3 linked regions of the Arabidopsis thaliana genome follow. The protein of the gene in region 2 binds, or shares a complex with, the protein of the main gene of each other region. Each region holds a gene or a part of one and is shown on either strand. Other genes may lie near its edges.

Region 1 (7,200 bases), on a different chromosome or scaffold from region 2:
AACAAAAAAAAAAAACCTATCTGTAAGCAAATGATGGTGGGTGGTGAAGGCGGTTAACCGCGTCTTGTCCTAGGCGTGCATCGAAATTCAGCTAAGAGAGCAATGTGATTAGAAGACCATTCTGGGGAAGGAAGAGCTGTGTCTTTTCTTAATCCATCTTCATCCAGTAATTCCAATAGAGATTCCACCATTAATGTATCCGCTGAAACCCAAACACAAAAAAATCTTCCAATTAAGTTAACTTGTTATTTCTGATGTAGTTGAAAACAAGGACAATGGAGTTAAAAATGGTGAAACCTGTGTAGAATATGTAGTCATGAGTGCCGATGAAGTCCCTTGTACAATTGGTAAACAAAGGCTCGTTTGTATTAAGATCTATTCTCCTTCTGTGTTGTTCCAATCCAAGACCCATTATTCCCTTTCTCACAAACGATGAGTACGCGCTCACCTGAAACCAATTCATTTATCAAATATCCAAGAGAGACGCAAAGATAAGCGGTATAAATTTACTTAAATCGAAAAAAGCAATGTTACCAGAGGCAATTGATGAGTCAATTTGGTGTGAGGACGCAGGATATTAAGGGGATCGACTGCCAGATCTGGGTGCATTGGATCAACCTTTCCCATTACAAGAAGTGTATGAGGTGCACTGTCATAAAAATGCCAAAAAGAAAAACTTTAGCTACTCATAAGAGAATTCTGCATTTCATGTATCATGTCAAAAGAATTTATGAATCAACAAACCTCCCAGGAAGCGTATTGAAGTCTCCACACACAAGCATAGGAATATCGGCACTAGCTGCTATTTTCTCTAGTCCCTTTAATAAGGTATGAACCTAAACGCAAAAGAATAAAAGAAAACATGAGGTGAATACTAATTCTTTCGAGTTCAATGAAATTTGATTTATTTCGGATATAGAGATACACCAACCTGCCAGAGCTTCACATCCTTCAGATCTTGTTGAACATTTACATGTGTGTTTGCCTAAACAAGTTGCCACAACAAAATAAGAAAATTCATTGGCTTTCACTAAAAGAGCATATACAGAAACTAACAGTTCTCATGAGAATGGAAAAAAAAAAAGAACCAGTACCACACAAATAAGCTGGCGCTTCCCAGAAGGATCAGTAGGTTGATTACCAAATTTGGCTTCAAGAACAACTATCAACGCAATGTTATCCTACAACATAAGAATCATTGGTTTCAGTTTTGTAAACAATAACTCTCTGATAATCAGCTGTGGCCCAGAAAAATATTGTATACCATGTCAAAAATACCTTAACCAGTCGGTTTAAAGCAGTTCTCTTCTGAGCCTGAGGGATTAGAGCGTCAGTCAAAGACTGAGCAGCCTTGTTGAATTCAACCTGGATTTACAGTCCATGAATTAGTATAGAGATCTTACTGGATCTAGCAAGTAAACATATAGAACTGAATACAAACATCATATTTCTTGACATGCGAAAACCTATCCCGCCGGAAAAATGTTGCACAGCCGTCAATGGCACTTGTACTTCCGCTGAGAACCTAGCAACAAGAAATTTGTGGTTAATAGATTTTAAAACATAAATCACTGAAGGAAGGAGTGTGTGGAATCATTGACCAAACCTCATTAGTCTTCCTCTTGTAAAGAGCTTGATACCCATGCTTATCCAACTCAGGAGCAAAAATTTCATGGAAATGATCACTTTGTACCTGCCAGATAACAAAAAAAAGAACACATTAGAAGTAGATTTTTCAGAATTAAAATGCTTTAAATCATTACCAAGTCCATACGAATAACATACTTCTTGCAGGCAAACTACATCGGCTCTATATCCAACAATCTCCCTTAACAAATTCTGTCTTCGGTATGGCCATGAAAGAGCCCAAGGAGGACAGTAACTGTAGAGGTCGCTACTTGCAGAAGTATCAGACAAAATGTTATATGAAAGAACAGTGAATGATCCTGCAGACTGAATCCGAGCATCTTGATCTAAGTGACCCATCCCATCAGCTCCGTTAACAGGGATTAGCTTACGGGGGCTTGGAGAAGGAGCAGGAATAACCCGTGAAGTCAAAATGGTACTAGGATGTCCGACAATCTGTTTAGTCTCAGCATTAGCCACAACACACTCGAACTTCAAAACGTGGCTAATATCATCAGCTGTTGGAGTGTACGTTTTGCAACCCCCAACCTCAACTAAAGTCTCTCCTCCATTTTTCTGAGTAATATTAGAAGGATAAAACGGAGCTGGACCATTGTTGGCAATACTAAGATTTGACATAGACCCAGATAAGGAACCAGCGAGAGACCCAGAACCCGCACTGTTATTCCTGTTCAAGTCATCATCCTCGTTTGCGTTGTTTTCCGCAGCTGCTCGCTCGTGCAAAGTCCTGTGATGCTGCCACGCATCCGTGAAGCATTTTGGCGAACAGTGATAGCTTTTTGGAACAAGGGATCTACGCTTAGAACAGAAAACACACTGTAAAGTAGCTTGTTCCGTTGGATGCACACTGCAAATCGTTACTTTCTTATCACTCTGTACACGATACCTACAACAAATAAATCCAAAAAATGAATCTACAACAAGATCAGAACTTTACACACAAAAACCATTTGACGACCTAAATCAGAACATCTACATGAGAAATCTCTGAATTCAGATCAAAATTCAATCTTTGATAAACCCCAATTCGCCAAATGATCCAAGAAAGCAATTAGACAAAGAGCCAATCAGAAATCTAACCATCTGTATCTCAAGAAGTAGCCTTCAAGAGGAGCAGATTCAGGGACGTCATCAGTGGTGGAGTTCTTATCGGGACGACGAACAAGGACGTAAGGAGTCAATTCACAGCCCACAATGGGAATTTCAGAAGGAAGATGCACTCGGATCACGCTCAGCATTGCTTTTCAATAACACCTGGTGATTGTCGAAGAACACTATCGAAGCAGCAGCAGCAGAGATTCAGAATCGAAGCAAGACCTTGATGATGATTATTAGATGATGAATATTGTCGTTGATAACCTAATGAAGTGGAGCGTACGATAGGCTGATCCACCATTTACTTGAACCGAAAACCCGACCAATCTCTAGAAACCCTAGAAAATGTCTTCTTCAGACAAGGTTGAAGATCCGGCAGAACCAAATTAGAATCGAAGAAAAGAAAAAAAGAAAGGAAAATGATGGTATCGAGAAAGCTTATAAGAGATGTGAGATCTTGAAGGAATTTTGTATTAAGGATCGATTCTTTCGCTGTGAATATGGAAAAAATCAATGAAATCGATTTTGGTTTTTTTATGTGTTTTTTTTCCCCGAGTGGGTTTAATACTAAAACTATTATTTTGTGCTTTGAAGACATTATTATGAAATTTTATAATATTTTAATTGATCTTCCTTTTCGATGAAAATTTTGGTTTTGGCGCTCAAAGATTGAAAGTTTTTCGTTTTATTTTTGTTTATATAAAGATAAAATTTTAAAATCTAGAAAATGCGTAAAAACAAATAATCCACAACTAAACATGACTTACCAAAGACAAATCAAGATTTATGACTCGTACCATTACGAAAACAAGATTGGTGACTTAAAAGAAGTGTATTTATATCTATGATAGATTGAAGAAAGAAGGAATGGTGAAGATGAGTCAATAGGTGAGTGTTCAACGCACATTCAGTAGGAGCCAGGAGGTGTAGTTTCTTCGTTAAGATTAAGAGACAAGAAATATCAATTCGTGATATAATTATCTTGAAGACGATTTGTTGCAGATTAAGGTAGAATTAACTTCTTCTTCTTTTTTGTTTTTTTTTTAAAATGTGAGAATTACCCAAGAAGAGCAGCATAGTTTATCAATTCAATTGATCTTCTTAAGAATTGTTGAATTTGTCAAATTAATGAAAGAATCACATTTTAACATTGTCAAAATTGTCATGTTCATTTTCGCTTTTGTTTTCGTTTTAGCTAGTTCATTTGGTTTTCATAAATATAAGCGGTTCAAACCTGAAATAATTAAGGTTCGAATTATGAAAATTTTGTTGGTTTTTAATAAATTTAGGTAGACTAAATTTCATTCTTTTCAGGTTTACTCAATTTTAAAGTATAGAAATTTAAGATTTATATCTAACTTTTGTTGTATTTGATATGAAAAGTTATCGGTTTGTATTTTACCGAATTTAGATAACTATTTACAAATTATTATTTTGAACTAATTATAGAAAACAAATACAATGCGTGTCCAGTAAATCAAAGTTGAGAGATTTCTTTCTCGTTTTTAAGCATTCAACACAATTTTTTCTATTTGTTATTTCGGAGGCCTGAGTCCACATTTTATATGAAGCATAACATGGAAAATAATAATAATTATTATTTTTCGAAAGCGATCTTTTCCAAACAAAGAAGCCTCAAACACTATATACGCTACAAAATAACATCTCGACCTTGTAACAAAGAATGCATTAGATATTTTTTTTTTTAATCAAAATTGTTGAGATGAGCAAAAGCACAGAACGTATTCAACTTTTCAAAAGGGTTGTGGCAGCTGAATATTATTTGTTCTATGATGGTAACTAACAATTTGTTTATTTTTTGTTCTTTATAGTGAAATCTTTTGATTTGATTTTTCTTTTTGTTGTTGTTAGTTTTGTTGGAAGCCGTCAAAGACATACAAAAATTGAAAGTTGATCTAACGATAGAAGAGAAGAAATGCTTAGAAATGGTAAATGAGAATCTATTTAACGAGACAGTAAAGATACTAAAACCGCTCGAAGATATGGGTATGAGGTCTGAAGAAACAATCATTATAGATGATAATCAAAAGATGATTAAAGAGTATTTGGAGGACACCTTCATAGTTTGTCATAAAATATGTAAGGAGATTCAAAAGTTGGGTATTTGCCCTTTGTGAGTTAAGTACTCTTATCGTCCTTTTTCTCTAGAGATTTGGAGGGTTTTTCAATATGAATTAGATATGTAAACCAATATTATTCAAACATGAGGTATAATCTAAAAAATGTGAAAGGAAAGATGGAAGGGATGAGGAGAGCAACCTTTTTTATTAATGATAAAATTTCATTGGAAATGATAAACAAATTAAATTATGGAATAAAAATAAAATTATTCAAAAAAAAAAAGTTGAGTTGATTTTGGTTCATTTAGAAAACCATAATATTAATTCGATTTTCTTTTGTTAAATATGGGCCAATTTGAAAGATCTTATTTGTAAAATAATATGGGCCAGATTGGTCAATTGGACAGATAAAACCGTGATACTGTGGTTGAACCAGCCGGTGCGGTCTAGATCAATTATTTAGTTCCCTGGTTCTGAACTTCAAACTTTGTTCTTGATGTTTATAAAAATCCGAACTTTTAAAATTTCAGACCTTTATTAGAACTTTCTTCATGATGCACGAAACTTAGTTCTTAATTATAACTGAGATCGATCTGGGAAGTACTCTGTTTTCAGTATCCTTCTGCATGAGCCTCAGCTGTGGAGATCTCGCCAATCACAACGATCGTGTAGTTAGCTTACTCAATGTCTGCAGAAAAGCTCCTTCCTTTGCAAGGACCAAAGCTCTTCACGCTCTCTCCATCACTTTATGCTCTGTTCTTTTGCAGCCAGTTTATGTCTGCAATAACATTATCAGTCTTTATGAGAAGCTTGGCGAGGTATCACTTGCAGGCAAAGTGTTTGATCAAATGCCTGAGAGAAATAAAGTGTCTTTCAACACGATCATTAAAGGGTACAGCAAATACGGGGATGTTGATAAAGCTTGGGGTGTGTTCTCTGAGATGAGGTATTTTGGATATTTGCCGAACCAGTCAACAGTGAGTGGTTTATTGTCCTGTGCATCGTTGGATGTTCGTGCTGGAACTCAGTTGCACGGTTTGAGCTTGAAGTATGGCTTGTTTATGGCTGATGCATTTGTTGGTACTTGTTTGTTGTGTTTGTATGGGAGGCTTGACTTGCTGGAAATGGCGGAACAGGTTTTTGAAGATATGCCGTTTAAGAGCTTGGAAACATGGAACCATATGATGTCTTTGTTGGGGCATCGTGGTTTTCTCAAAGAATGCATGTTTTTCTTCCGTGAGCTTGTTAGGATGGGCGCTTCTTTAACTGAAAGCTCTTTCCTGGGTGTATTGAAGGGTGTATCTTGTGTAAAGGACTTGGATATTAGCAAACAGTTGCATTGCTCAGCAACGAAAAAAGGGTTAGATTGTGAAATATCCGTCGTTAACTCTCTCATCAGCGCATATGGAAAATGTGGCAATACGCATATGGCAGAGAGAATGTTTCAGGATGCAGGTTCCTGGGATATAGTGTCATGGAACGCCATAATTTGTGCAACAGCCAAAAGTGAGAACCCGTTAAAAGCACTCAAACTCTTTGTGAGTATGCCAGAGCATGGGTTTTCCCCGAACCAAGGTACATACGTTAGTGTTCTTGGTGTCTCTTCTCTTGTGCAGTTACTGAGTTGCGGACGCCAAATTCATGGCATGCTAATTAAGAATGGCTGCGAAACTGGCATAGTTTTGGGGAATGCGTTGATTGACTTTTATGCTAAATGTGGTAATCTGGAAGATTCCCGCCTATGCTTCGATTATATACGTGATAAGAACATTGTTTGTTGGAATGCGCTGCTTTCGGGTTATGCCAATAAGGATGGTCCGATTTGTCTCTCTTTGTTTCTGCAAATGCTTCAAATGGGTTTCAGGCCAACTGAATATACTTTTTCGACGGCCCTCAAATCTTGTTGTGTCACAGAGTTACAGCAGCTGCACTCTGTTATTGTGAGAATGGGATATGAAGATAATGACTATGTCTTAAGCTCTCTTATGAGATCCTACGCCAAAAATCAACTGATGAATGATGCTCTTCTTCTGCTGGATTGGGCTAGCGGGCCAACTTCGGTCGTCCCATTGAACATTGTTGCCGGAATCTATAGCAGAAGAGGCCAGTACCATGAATCTGTGAAGCTGATTTCGACACTAGAACAACCCGACACTGTATCTTGGAACATTGCAATTGCGGCCTGCTCTCGTTCTGATTACCATGAAGAGGTTATCGAACTTTTCAAACACATGCTTCAATCAAACATCCGCCCTGATAAGTACACATTCGTTAGTATCTTAAGTTTGTGTTCTAAGCTCTGTGACCTTACTCTTGGGAGTTCTATTCATGGTTTGATCACCAAAACAGATTTCAGCTGCGCTGACACATTTGTATG
Region 2 (7,200 bases):
AAACGTTTACAAAACATATATTCCCTAAAGGGTATTGTACTTTCGAGTGAATCTGAATATCAGATATTTACTTTTTTAGCGTTTTTCTTTCTTTTGGTTTGATACTTTCTAATTTTGTAATTATTCACTTTCTTTCTGAAACACTGACGTACAAAGCTGAATTCAACATGGGGAGGTCTTTCTTTATACGTGAATGATAGTATTTATAAATTTTGGTTTATTCATATAACCTTATAGTTTGTCAGAGTTACAAAAACTGCAAAACATGAAGAATGAGTGTCCTTGCAATTACAGAATAGAGAGAGCTCACGAGGAGGTAAATTCATCCACCACCTAGATTGGTCCACTCATCATGACGTAAAGCCAAAAGACGTTAGTTCAAGTACGAATACTTCCCTAGTGTGGTCCTGGTTTTTGGTCCACCGGTCCGATTCACAAGGTCAGGTCGAGTTTTCACTGGTCCGACCAAGCAGGTCATTCGGTCAATATTTGTTTTGTTAATCAAGTCCTAAAGATATTTTAGCCACCAGTGACTATAACTAAGTCTGGCTATTTTTGTACATGTAGAATCAAGTAATAACTAATAAGGAGTTAAGGACTAACGATCAGTTATGACTTGCTGTTGCTGGTAATTTGGCGGGTGAGAATAGACAATGGATAGAAGCAAGTTAAAAATGGAAATGAAGCATCCAATATAATAAGTATTTTGGAAGCATGTTTTTGTGAATTATCTCATTATGATTTGGTTATAGAGACTAATGTGAAGTCGTGTTGGTGAAAGGTTTGAAACTTGTTGTGTTTCATATATTCAATAGTTTAGCGACTATTTTTGCTTGTAGCCTATATATTTTCAGGGTTATCCCTCGTTACTGGTAAAGATCGTATCGGATAACACTCGAAATGCACAGCTGAGCTATCATCGTGCCAAGGCTAGGGTGGACCGGTGGTACCACTTCGCGTAGTTATCCGGCACCAGAAAAAAAAAAAAAGATTCGAACTCATCTTTCATATGGATAAATTTATGTGGGCCACAACAGAAAATATAGCTATCATCATACTTTGTTGTTACATAAGCTACTCATGATTCGTCCGCCAATATTCCATCACCAAATAAGAACCACAAAAGCGGCGACTGATGGATCATAAGATTTTAGATTATGGTAAGTTGTAGAATGTTTGTAATGCCTTCACACCATTATGCCTCTTGCCATGTTGGGGGTATGGACAACAACTTAGCCCCACAAATTGATGCCCTATTTTGTTTAGACTGGAATTTTGAAACACATTTTTCTCTATTTTGCTATTTTTGGGGTCATCAGTCTACACATGGATGTTGCAAATGACCACCAATTCGGTTCACTTCAGGTTGGGTTTAATTACGACCCGACTATGATCTAGCCAACCATAATTTAGCCTCGATATCTGAGGTTTAGGTCTGATTCGACCAAGCTTTATAGCAATACAAGTCAACCGGAAGTTAGAAATGATACGTTTGATGAGTTCAATCCGGGTTGAACCGGGTGAGTTTATATGACCAAAACAACTCTTCACAATAAATGAATAAAATATCTCGAGTTGTGAATGTATGGTTGTTCTTAGTTGGGTCTCTATCGTCCTCTCTCTCTATTATAACTATCCCAATCTCTTCGGTGTTGTAATAGAGACATGGGAACTACTAGACAAGGAAAAGCTCATAAATTCGATACATCCAACATTCAAAGCACATGACACGAACTTTGAGGCGTAAGCTGTCACAAGTTAACATCAAACCTAGACATATAGATTTTATTTCAACAAACTGATTATTTATACAATACTTTTATTTCATTCTATAAGTAGTGATACCACATATTTCAGGTTCAAGGCTCATGATCGACTTGCTACCTCTAATCCGTTTCCTGCAAAATTTGACGACAGAATCTGTAAGTTGAAACAGACAGGATCGCTGAAAGATAATCCTAGAACACATGTTCCGGATCGATAGACCAAAGTACTAAAGCATCAATGCATATAAATATATAATACACAAGAACTGTAATTTGCAAATGCTTGTGCTGAATAAGAAAAGTAGACATATATCTGACCAAGTTATAATAGTTATTAAGCCGGCTTAAGAGCAAAACAGAGATTAATTACCATCAGGATCAAAGAAGAAAACTTGCTTGACTTTTCCATCAGGAAGAGACTTCTGAAAAGTTTCTATCCCTTTCTCCTACATCATAACAAGGACGAGAAAGGATCGATTAAATAACTCTGAAAGATACCAATCATATCCATAACTGTACCATCAAAAGCTCATGTAAACAAGCCAAAGAAACAATACCTTGAGAGAATGAAGGAAAGAGTCGAAATTTGGGACAGAGAAACAGATATGATGACCCATTGGGAGATGGCTAGGATCCTTAACCGCTGAGGTAGCACTGTAAGGACCTTCTGGAAGATTTGTTGAAGGGTTTCTCTGGATAATATGCATTGCAAAAGCACCTGGTAAGTTTAGCCACACCACCTGTAGGTCTCCAAAATCAGGACTTTCGATCTCCTCGAACCCAAACACCTGACAATTATACATATATAATCCATTGGTTTCAGAACAAACCACGAAGATGAAGATAACACTAACTTAATCAAAAGGATTAAAGGCATCCAAAAGTGGACACTCTCAATAGAAACTAGAAACGAGATAAGTGACAAGAGAAAGAGACAAAGCCACAATAGCAACACAAATCTCTAAATAAAAAGCCAAATTACAAACCATAGATTCTAATCCAGATGGGTAATCGACTCAGTGCGTTTGTTTTTTTGGGTCGAAATTGGTAGTAACAACACAAACCCAGAACAGAGAATACGAAGAGAGATAAGAAAAAGAAAAGTGTAAGAAATTGAAAACGTCGATTAGGTGTCGTTACCTCTTTGTAAAACTGGGCGAGGCGTGTGATGTCTGATGATTCTCTGGCTATATGGCCAAGACTCGCCATGTTTGGTTCCAAGCGGACAAAGCTAATCAAGAAGAACAACTCAGAAACAAAAATGGTCGACAAAAAAGAGATTAGTAAAAGTACGTGGCATCGGCTCCTTATAACACATCTTTAATCAAACCATAAGGTTGAACCGATCGGTTTGACTATCAGTGAAACTAAAACCAACTTTAAAAAAAAGAATTATTATACGTAATTGCAGTTACTCCAAGAAAAATTAATCTGTTGCTTAATCTGAATATCCGACCAATCAGAAATGTTCGGACCCCGACCAAACAATGTATCCGGTTTAAAACATCCGGTCCGGTATTAAACCCTTATTGCTCCGTAATCTCTCACCTCCACCAATTCCTCATTCTTCCAATCGCACTTCCTTTACCAGATCAGACGTCAATTTCAACTCTTCAGTGAAGAGATTTCTTTCACCGAATTTTCTACTCCGATCGATCAATTGAAGATTGAAATGGAAGCTAATTCAGGCGGAGGAGGAGGAGCTGAAGGCGGAAGAGCGGTAACCGGAGGAGGAGGAGGAGGAGGAGGGAGCGATGTGGAATTGGTGAGCAAGACGTTGCAAGTGGAGCATAAGCTATTCTATTTTGATCTTAAGGAGAATCCTCGTGGAAGGTATCTAAAGATATCGGAGAAGACGTCGGCGACGAGGTCAACCATCATTGTTCCTTCCTCCGGCATCTCTTGGTTCCTTGATCTCTTCAACTACTATGTCAATTCTGAGGAACACGAGCTTTTTAGCAAAGAATTGCAGCTTGATTCCAAGGTTTCAACTTTATCATCACTCTCTTCTGGCGATCGTTGACTTTTCCACTCTCTTTAATTTCTGCTGTTGTTGCTTTATTCAGGTGTTTTACTTCGATATCGGTGAGAACAGAAGAGGACGCTTCTTGAAGGTAGAAATTTTTCTGTTTTACTTAATGAATCTGAAGTTTTTTTTCTTTGGTATATGTGAATTGAAGATTTAGGGAGTACTAGACTTATGGTTAGGAATGTTCTTTTCATTTTGGTTATGTGACTAATTATCCTGAGGTATCAGAAGTTGTAGGAATGTTCTGATGGGTTTTGGTGTGGTGTTAGGTGTCAGAAGCATCGGTTAGTAGAAATCGAAGTACCATTATTGTTCCAGCTGGAAGCTCTCCTGATGAAGGATGGGCAGCTTTCAGGAATATATTGGCTGAGATACATGAAGCATCAGGACTTTTTGTGATGCCAAATCAGGTGGTATTATCGTCTCCTTTGATTGAAAAGCCTTTAACTAAGTTCTCTGGTCTCATTGTATCTTCGTTTTGGAAACAGAAACCTTCTGATGGACAGGAACACTTGGTTGATGATGTTGGAGCTGGTTTTATACCTGGACATGGTAGTCAGCAGCCATCTTCTTCAGAACATAATGTGGATCGAACAATTGACTCGCCAGGCCAGGAAGAAACCGGAATGACTGGTGTTTCTAAAGTAATCAGAGCTGACCAGAAACGGTTCTTCTTTGATCTTGGGAACAATAACAGGGGCCATTTCTTAAGGATATCTGAGGTAATCTTGGAAGAACAATCTTTTGCTGGCTTATCTCTTGAGAGCTTGTATTTACCATGGTTTTAACATTAAAGCATTTCTCAATATAGGTGGCAGGTTCTGACAGGTCTTCCATCATTCTACCGTTATCGGGTCTTAAGCAGTTTCACGAAGTAATTGGTCACTTTGTGGAGATCACCAAAGATAAAATTGAAGGTATGACAGGTGCAAATGTCAGGACAGTTGATCCTCCTCAGAGATAAGTATTGATTCTCTTAGAGGATGGAAATTTTCAATCCTCTAACCATTTGAATCTGGCAACTTCAAGTCGACTGCCTGATCGCGGTGTGCAATAGTTTCACGTAATATCTCTCGCCCCTTCACATCTTCTAAAAATAATTCAGCAGGATCATCATTTGCCTTAATAGTAGATAAAACAAACTTTGGAGTCTGCAACTGGGAATAAGCTGAAAATCATCCACCATGTGTATCTCTCTCTCTCTCTCTCTCTCTCCCTCCCTCCCTCATTTGCTTCTGTTCTGTTTTAACTTTTTTTGTTTTTGTTCAGTTTGGGTCATTGGGTGTATATCTGTTGACGGCTTGATGCATTTCAATTGTAAAAGAATATTGGGGTTTATATGTTTGGGCTAATGCCTGTTGGAATAAAAGATGAAGTGTAAGTTCTATACATGAGTTACGAATTCTTTTTGGTTTTGTCTGAAAATGATTTAGTTCTACTACCAGAGGTTCTAAGAGCAGTTGCGAATTGTATATACTGTCCTAAGCATGCTTTGGTTAGACAAAAATTTCGATTTTTAGGTTAATCGAAAATGCCTCAATAATAAAAAAAAAAGAAAAAGAAATCAACGTTGCGTATAAAACAAGGGAGAAGATAAAAAAACAGCGTTTGTAAATAAAAAACAAAAACCCTAAAAAAAGGAGCAACTTTGGGCACAGTCCGAGAGAGAGAAAAAAATAAAAAATAATCTGTCGGTGATTTATAACCTCCTCTCTAATAAACCACCACATCCTCTGAAACCCTAGCCTGAACAACTCGCCGTCTTCTCGAGAAACATCTTTCTTACTTCGCTTCATTACAAGGTTCGAATCCAGCTGTCTCTCTTAGTATTTGTCTATGTATCTGTCGAGTTTCTCTGTTTTCATTGATTTATGTAAAATCAGAAGGTTTTGGTTTTTGTAAGTGATTCATTTGTTTTGTGTTAAATCTATTGCAGATCTGATGAAACCAGATCGGATCTTGCTCTAGATCCAGATGCTCCTTAACTTATTTACTCGAATTCATCATCATCGTTATCATCACCATGTCACTGTTTCTAAAAGACGATTCGATTCAAATCCGTGAAGTATGGAACGACAATCTCGAATCAGAGATGGCTCTGATTCGAGAAGTCGTAGACGATTTCCCATTCGTAGCGATGGACACAGAGTTCCCAGGAATCGTGTGTAGACCAGTGGGAACATTCAAAACCAACACAGAGTACCACTACGAAACTCTCAAAACAAACGTCAACATACTCAAGATGATTCAGCTTGGACTCACTTTCTCTGATGAGAAAGGTAACCTCCCAACTTGTGGAACAGACAACAAGTATTGCATCTGGCAGTTCAATTTCCGCGAATTCGACCTCGAATCCGATATCTACGCTACCGATTCGATCGAGCTTCTTCGTCAATCAGGCATCGATTTCGTGAAAAACAACGAATTCGGTATCGATTCGAAGCGGTTCGCTGAGCTTTTGATGTCTTCAGGGATTGTGTTGAATGAAAACGTTCATTGGGTTACATTCCACAGCGGATACGATTTCGGTTACTTGTTGAAGCTATTGACTTGTCAGAATCTTCCCGAGACGCAAACAGGGTTCTTCGAGATGATCAGTGTGTATTTCCCGAGGGTTTATGATATCAAACACTTGATGAAGTTCTGTAATAGTCTTCATGGAGGTCTGAATAAATTGGCGGAGCTGCTTGATGTTGAGAGAGTTGGGATTTGTCACCAGGCCGGATCGGATAGCTTGTTAACGTCGTGTACATTCAGGAAGCTGCAGGAGAATTTCTTCATTGGTTCAATGGAGAAGTATTCTGGTGTTTTGTATGGTTTAGGTGTTGAGAATGGTCAGATTGTTCATTGATAAAAGCTTAAAGTTTTAAACAGGTTATGTTATTTATTTTAGATTATTACATCATAGGTTGTTTTAAGAAGTGTATGATCACAAGAACTAAACTCTGATTTTGGTTTGGTATTGTGCTCTCTTACTTGTTTAAAGATAGCATCTCACTTAATTTATGAAAAAAAAAGTTTGATATATGTCCTTTTTCATCATATCTTAAAGATATTATCAAAGGTATACGTATTTGGCCTATTAATAAAATTTCACAATGTGTTAAAAGACTTAAAGGACAACATAAATTGTGGATTCTGTGAAGTGTTTAAACATTAAAGATGAAAATTGGGAAAGATTAAACAAACGACAGCGTTTTTTAAAAGGACCCAGATATTGAAGGAATGGCCCAGTAAAGCCCATTAAAGTAGAGCCCAGGTTCGTGACAAATCTGTTAAAATCGTATAATTCAGGGTTCGTAAAACCCTAATATATAACTTCGCTACTCATTTTTTGCTCTTCGTTGCAGCCTCTCTCTCTTTAAGGTTAGTCTCTTACTCACTTTTGCGTAGTTCCTCACTGAA
Region 3 (7,200 bases), on a different chromosome or scaffold from region 2:
ATACGGGTTTATTACACGTGGCAAATCCTTGCCTAAAATTAACGAGTATTTTAACAGATTATAAATTGGATTAAGAAACGATTAACTTGTAACATATAATTGGGGTACGACGACCAACGGAACATTTTAATATGTATCATGTATGATTTGGGCACACGTCGTGTTGTGGTACTTTACTTCCACCGTCTACAATATTATAGAGTTAGCATACTTTATACTTAAAACCATAGGTTATGAAAACAAAACCAAAAATATAGTAGTGGTAAATTGATCTTTAATTTCGTTCAAAATAGACAAGAAAATACTTCAGATTTAAGGAAAACGTTGTAGTGATACATTTATTTATCATATCGAGCTTTAATATAGGAATATTTGTTTTTATTGTTGTTACTTAATACTTATTAATTAGTGTTGGGATAATTTTAACTGTTTCAAGTACCGATCTATCACACTTCAACGCAGAGCAATCGGACGTATGAAAGCAAAAAGATTTCCCGCATCTATGTTAGCAAGTGGTCTCTCATATCAATCAAGGCCTATTGTGCCTCCACTTCCGAAATTCACTCGTTCGTCAATAGGTTATATTATTAATTCTACACATGTATCACAAAAATGTGCAGATTTCAACTTGGTGGTGAATGGTGATATAATTAAGGTTTGTATATCATGTCACATAACTTGCGTAAATTCCATATAAAGTAATATAAATAAAATGGTGGTGTAAAGCAGAGGAACGAGTCCTATGATAGAGAGATGTTCAATTGTTCGTGGGTCATGTGGCGTAAAATTGTTTGTTTCCTTGTTTCTTTTGGCGTAAACTGCAAAATTGCCAAAAATTCGATGAAGTCACAACCTCTTGATTTGTATATATTGTCACGTCGCTATATCACCACAATCAATTCCTTTCTTTAAAGGACTAGAATTCCATTACTCATATCATTTCCGTTATGTTAGATCCACAATAAATGATAATAATTAAATTTAGGACCCATTTGAATCTTTAGGTGCTGATTAAACACCCATCTCTAAGATCACAAAAGCAGAAATTTTACATTTTTAGTGACATATAATCCTTTTTTCTATCATCAAACATTAGAAGTTGGATGTTAAATGTTCTACAAAACTTCACAGGTGTTGTTGGAAGTTCCAAAAAAGAATGTCGTTTGCTATACAAAAAAAGAAAAGAAAAGATGAAAAGTAACTTCCTGCGTTTAAAGTATCACGCTGCGTTGCGGTCATGCAAACGCACCAACAAACAAAATAGTTTCAAAACAAAACTTGAAAATGTGGGGTCCACGTAAGAATCTCCATGGAAGAACTTGAGCCAATCAGAGTGCAAAAACGGAGATGACAGTATATTTCAACCAATAAGGAGGCAGAATCAGATCACCAGTGGGTTCCATTATAAGTTTCCTCTTGACTAACCACCAATAGCTAGTTTTACACAGAACTTAAATTTTTCATTTTTTTTTGTCTTTTAATATTTCAACAAGATCAATTTTATTATTTGATATTAACCATCTTCAACAGTGTTTGCCAACGAAAAAAAAACACCATCTATAACAGTGTCTTCACCAAACTGTATTTCACTATGACTTATTTTCCGAAAAGAATGATGAAGTTTAGTACCATACATGAACTAGCGGTTAGATCGTAATTAAGAATTTGAGGATCATATTTTACTATATCATGAAAACGGAGAGAGCGCAAAATTACAGACATATTGGTTCAAAATTTTATTTAAGAATAAAGTATATATATGGTTCTAATTTTTCAAAAAAAAAGTATATGGTTCTAAACATTTATTTGAAAGTACGTAATATAATGAAAACAAAAATTGTAAATTTGAAGTAAAAAACTCGTGAAAAGTCCTCATTCTAAAATACCATGTACACGTACATAATAAACTATGAATAGAATTATGAGTTTTTATTTATATTTCTATCTCCACTCCAAATAATTTAGACCACACAAGGTAATGAAAAAATAATAATTCTGAAAAAAATGAAAAATACTGCCGGGAAATCGAGACGCCACACACACTAGTGAATTCGTTGCAAAACCATATATATTACAGTATTTTGTTCTTCTCAAGGCCTCTCTCTCCATCTCAGCAACTCTCTCACTGTGTAATATACACACACAATGGTGGTCGATGTAGAGAGCCGAACCGCGAGCGTGACAGGAGAGAAGATGGCGGCGCGTGGCTGTGATGCGTGCATGAAGAGATCACGTGCTAGTTGGTACTGTCCAGCCGATGACGCTTTCCTATGCCAAAGCTGCGACGCCTCGATCCACTCGGCTAACCATTTAGCGAAACGGCACGAACGTGTCCGGTTACAATCATCTTCGCCGACGGAGACGGCAGACAAAACGACGTCGGTATGGTACGAAGGATTCAGGAGAAAGGCGAGAACGCCTAGGAGCAAGAGTTGTGCGTTTGAGAAGTTGTTGCAAATCGAGTCAAACGATCCTCTTGTTCCGGAGCTTGGTGGAGACGAAGATGATGGCTTTTTCTCGTTCTCCTCCGTAGAAGAAACCGAGGAGAGTCTGAATTGTTGCGTGCCTGTTTTCGATCCTTTCTCAGACATGCTGATTGATGATATAAACGGCTTTTGCTTAGTTCCTGATGAAGTCAATAACACTACTACTAATGGAGAATTAGGAGAAGTCGAGAAGGCAATCATGGACGATGAAGGTTTTATGGGGTTCGTGCCATTGGATATGGATCTTGAGGATCTCACTATGGACGTGGAGAGTTTACTTGAGGAAGAACAACTTTGCTTGGGATTCAAGGAACCAAACGATGTTGGAGTCATCAAAGAAGAGAATAAAGTAGGGTTTGAGATTAATTGTAAGGATTTGAAGAGGGTGAAAGATGAAGATGAAGAAGAAGAAGAAGCCAAGTGTGAAAATGGAGGATCAAAGGATAGTGATAGAGAAGCATCAAATGATAAAGATAGAAAGACAAGTTTGTTTCTGAGATTAGATTATGGAGCTGTGATTAGTGCTTGGGATAATCACGGTTCGCCGTGGAAAACCGGAATCAAACCGGAGTGCATGGTAAGTTGGTGTCTCTAGCTATATCTCTCATCTCTATGTTAGTCTTTAGTAGTGTCGAGTTCCGTTGACTTTGAGCTGATATATATTGATTATAAAAGACGAAATAACGTTATAAAGTTCACTGATCCAGTTGGGAGGGAACACGTGTCTGCCTCATGTTGTGGGTGGGTACGAGAAATTGATGTCGAGCGACGGATCGGTGACACGTCAGCAAGGGAGAGACGGAGGAGGATCGGACGGGGAGAGAGAGGCGAGGGTTTTGAGGTACAAGGAGAAGCGGAGGACGAGGTTGTTCTCAAAGAAAATAAGATATGAGGTTCGGAAACTTAACGCTGAGCAGAGACCTCGAATCAAAGGTCGTTTCGTGAAGAGGACGTCACTTTTGACGTGATTTGATTTACTTTAATCAACACTTTAAAGATCTTGTAATTAAGACCTTTGAAGTAATTGTCGTAATGTACTGAATAATGAACTGAAACTCTTGGGGCCGATGGTTGTGTAGACTTGTAGCCGGCAACTATGATTTTATAGATTGATTGATTGAGTAATTTATTGTATATATCAAATGAAAACTCTTTGTTTATCAAATGAATTGGAGAAAAAAGCCATAATGTGTGATAATAACGAACACTAAAAAATTCGTAGCGAAGACATGTTACAAAGAAAACAAGTGTAATTAAAAAAAACAAAAAAAAAACAAGAAACAAGTTCAAATTAGAACATGCCATTTCCAACAATTTACAAATGAAGCAAGAAATAAAAGCCATTAAGGCCTAGTTATGGCTGAATAGCCCATCACACAATTAAAAAAACCAACATAAAGAGCCCAACTAGGCAACTACTTAAGCCAACCGGTTTGGGTTATCAAGTACGTATTTTAATCGTTAACCAGTAAAAATCGTGAATTTCAACCGACTGAATTTGGTTAACTTCACAAGGTTGACGCATAGCTCACGCGCCGCCGACTTGCTACGATTGACATGAGCGGATACGAGCGTAAGAACACGACGGCGAACTCAATCACCATCACCAAGCGGAAGCGTAACTCGATTTCGGAACAATCGGAGAACGTATACGAGAAATCGAATAGGAAGGAGTCAATAACCTTAAAACCTCACCGTTCTTTTACGCCGGGATTCAGCCAGCGTGATTGTAAACCTGTCAGACATAGTAAGTCTTCTCTCCGCCGGCGACGGAGAACTAAGGAGAAGATCTCGAGTTCCGTTGAGCGCGAATGGGTGTTTTCCGCAAACAATTTTGAAAATCTAGCAGGTCTGTGTGCATTGCAATCACACTGAATAATGCACTTATATGCTTTTATTAGCTTCACGAAGTATCACATTCCGTACTTTGAACACATTTTTATCTTATGTGTATGAAAAACTTGATATCTCCTTTTCAATTCTTCAGATAAATTAGTATTAGTTTCGTACAATCTACTTGGTGTTGACAATGCGTCGAACCACATGGACTTGTATTACAATGTTCCGCGGAAGCACTTAGAGTGGAGTAGACGGAAACATCTCATATGCAAGGAGATTAGTCGTTACAATGCAAGCATCTTATGTCTTCAGGCAAGTTCCAGGGGATTGCCTAGATCTACACTATTTAAGTTTCATTGCATTCTCATGTCCAAATTTATTGCAGGAGGTTGACCGCTTTGATGATTTAGATGTTCTTCTTAAAAATAGAGGATTTCGAGGTGTTCACAAGGTATATATACGAGTCAAAAGCTTTATTACCTTGTATGCAATGGTGCCTTTTTCATACATTTAGTATTTTTTAGAGTCGGACTGGAGAAGCGAGTGATGGTTGTGCTATATTTTGGAAAGAGAATCTGTAAGTTCAGTTTTTTTCTATTTAGGATCATTTTTAATGTGGTGGGAAGTCTCTATATGCTGGAGTCAGGATCAGGAATCTAGCCATTTGAATTGTCTACAGGGAATATCTCTCTTTTGGAACGAGATAAATTAGATCTTCTAGTTATCTGTTTTGAATGTTTCGAAATTGTTAATGGTAGGTTCACGTTGTGTTATGTTATCAGCTTTGACCTTGGCTTCACAATATATTGTTCAAGGCTGAAAGCTTTGCTTTCTATTGTTCTCGATGTTATTTATTTTGTATTAGACTCTTACTCTACTAGTTTCATCATTTATGTTATATTTCTGCTGTGAATGCAGATTTGAACTTCTAGACCATCAACATATAGAGTTTGATAAATTTGGTATGCGAAACAATGTTGCTCAACTTTGTGTTTTAGAGGTATGCACCGTTTTAAGTTATTTCTGTATTGTCGTCTTCCCCCTCTTTTCTCCTCTGTCTTTTCTTGATTCTAGAAGCACAGAGATATGACAAGCTTAATTGTGGGCATTATTTTATATATTTTTCCCTCCTGTTGTGTTTTCAGCTTTGCAGGCTAATTGCTTAATTTTCTTAGTTTCAGCCCTTGCAATTAATTAATTTACTTGATTGTCTATTACGGAACAGATGAACTGTGAGGAGGACCCAAAGTCTAAATTACGGGTGCGATCATCAGAGTATGTCTGAGTTCTGTTCTGATTCCTTTACTGGAGTGAATATTGAACTTACTTTTAAGATCCTTACTAAATTTTATGCGCACTTCCATGTTTGGTTGATTTATGCAAACTTCTACTAGTCCTCGAAGGCTAGTGGTTGGGAATATACATGTCCTATTCAATCCTAAGCGTGGGGATATCAAGCTTGGCCAGGTATGTCTTGCTAGATCCTTACAAAATTCTGATAAAAACTGGCTTATCCATAAAATCGGTAGAGCATTTCTGTCACTACACATCCTGAGTTTAGAAATGTCAATTTTTTAGCTAGTACTATTTTATGGTATTCATCAGTACATCAATGCCTGTCAGTATTGAAACTTCATTGAAATTCTAAGTAGCTCGCTCATTTCTTGATATTTGATATGTCATAACTTATAGGTAAGACTCTTTCTGGAGAAGGCTTACAAGCTATCACAGGAATGGGGAAATATTCCTGTGGCGATTGCAGGTGATCTGAATAGCACTCCACAGGTGATCTCTACCAACTTTTGTTTTTTTTGTTCTAATACTTATTTTTTAGCTGAATTCTAAAACTTACTCTGGATTTGCTGTACAGAGTGCAATCTATGATTTCATAGCTTCAGCTGATGTGAGTTCCATTGAGGGTTCTGGACTCTTTCTTTTACATTTCGCCTGGTCATAATTTTTTTCCTTTCTTTACTGGGAAAGTTAGAATGAACTCTTTATATTCCTTTTTTAATTTTGGACAGTTGGATACACAACTTCACGATCGCAGGCAAATTTCTGGCCAGACTGAAGTGGAACCAAAGGAGAGGTCATTCAGAAACCATTATGCATTTAGGTAGCTTGTAATTCACCGGGGTCTTTGGTTTCTCTAAATAATGTATCCATATTCCTTTTCTGCCTACCTGATGAACGGATAGATTGCTTATATCTCTTCTGTTTACCTGATGAACTGATAGAGTGATAGATTACTTATATTTTTCTTTGGCCTGCGCTTAATCAACTACGTAATCCTCAGATGAAGTTTCTATCTCAATTTAGTCTAACTAAACAACTCCCTCTTTCGTCAGTGCTTCAGCATCCATCTCCGGATCACTACTCAATGAGTGGAGCCAGGAAGAATTACAGCTTGCAACTGGTGGTCAAGAAACCACTCATGTCCAACATCAACTGAAGCTTAACAGCGCATATAGTGGAGTTCCTGTAAGTGTTTTTGTTTCTTGTTCTCGACTGGTGGACGCATCGAAAAGAGTTGAAATCTGCCTTACAGGAAAACTAAGTTCTTAGGAACTGTGGCTTTCTTTTATACTAGATACTGAAAAACGTTTAGGGAAAGTAGCATGTTGTATGATGTTATATATCCTTCTAGTATGCTAAGACCTGAGATCTTGCAGGGTACATATAGAACTAGAGATCAACGCGGTGAACCATTGGCAACAACGTATCATTCCAGGTTCCTTGGAACTGTTGATTATATATGGTAAGTCTGTTGTGCTTATGAAATCCGAATCATTAATCAGAGCTTTCAATTATATATGGCTATCAATGTTGTGATATATGCACATGTAATTTTGAAATCTCAATAATTAATCTGAGG

The links.
Region 1: AT2G32070 (region 2) and AT3G58580 share a complex: the UniProt entries of both Arabidopsis thaliana proteins name them as parts of the CCR4-NOT complex.
Region 3: AT2G32070 (region 2) and AT1G73875 share a complex: the UniProt entries of both Arabidopsis thaliana proteins name them as parts of the CCR4-NOT complex.

The regions. Positions count from the first base shown.
Region 1 is NC_003074.8:21,660,813-21,668,012, forward strand, and holds the start of AT3G58580 (DNAse I-like superfamily protein), read right to left. Parts: upstream 3,284-7,200; 5' UTR 2,886-3,283; coding exon 2,728-2,885; intron 2,534-2,727; coding exon 1,786-2,533; intron 1,694-1,785; coding exon 1,607-1,693; intron 1,526-1,606; coding exon 1,442-1,525; intron 1,366-1,441; coding exon 1,279-1,365; intron 1,182-1,278; coding exon 1,095-1,181; intron 986-1,094; coding exon 932-985; intron 837-931; coding exon 745-836; intron 650-744; coding exon 535-649; intron 449-534; coding exon 298-448; intron 203-297; coding exon 54-202; 3' UTR 1-53. Other genes in the region: AT3G58590 (Pentatricopeptide repeat (PPR) superfamily protein), read left to right, coding at 5,450-7,200. UniProt on the Arabidopsis thaliana protein: Acts as a catalytic component of the CCR4-NOT core complex, which in the nucleus seems to be a general transcription factor, and in the cytoplasm the major mRNA deadenylase involved in mRNA turnover.
Region 2 is NC_003071.7:13,640,275-13,647,474, reverse strand, and holds AT2G32070 (Polynucleotidyl transferase, ribonuclease H-like superfamily protein), read left to right. Parts: upstream 1-5,414; 5' UTR 5,415-5,597; intron 5,598-5,731; 5' UTR 5,732-5,818; coding exon 5,819-6,646; 3' UTR 6,647-6,881; downstream 6,882-7,200. Other genes in the region: AT2G32090 (Lactoylglutathione lyase / glyoxalase I family protein), read right to left, coding at 1,867-1,898, 2,137-2,212, 2,324-2,554, 2,907-2,975; PUR ALPHA-1 (purin-rich alpha 1), read left to right, coding at 3,439-3,750, 3,833-3,880, 4,065-4,208, 4,284-4,517, 4,607-4,759. UniProt on the Arabidopsis thaliana protein: Ubiquitous transcription factor required for a diverse set of processes. It is a component of the CCR4 complex involved in the control of gene expression.
Region 3 is NC_003070.9:27,777,069-27,784,268, forward strand, and holds the start of AT1G73875 (DNAse I-like superfamily protein), read left to right. Parts: upstream 1-3,786; 5' UTR 3,787-4,043; coding exon 4,044-4,335; intron 4,336-4,473; coding exon 4,474-4,637; intron 4,638-4,710; coding exon 4,711-4,776; intron 4,777-4,849; coding exon 4,850-4,902; intron 4,903-5,243; coding exon 5,244-5,325; intron 5,326-5,550; coding exon 5,551-5,600; intron 5,601-5,719; coding exon 5,720-5,792; intron 5,793-6,017; coding exon 6,018-6,110; intron 6,111-6,195; coding exon 6,196-6,228; intron 6,229-6,349; coding exon 6,350-6,441; intron 6,442-6,673; coding exon 6,674-6,806; coding exon of another isoform or gene 6,807-6,890; exon of another isoform or gene 6,891-6,997; coding exon 6,998-7,083; intron 7,084-7,200. Other genes in the region: BBX16 (B-box type zinc finger protein with CCT domain-containing protein), read left to right, coding at 2,146-3,063, 3,194-3,454. UniProt on the Arabidopsis thaliana protein: Acts as a catalytic component of the CCR4-NOT core complex, which in the nucleus seems to be a general transcription factor, and in the cytoplasm the major mRNA deadenylase involved in mRNA turnover.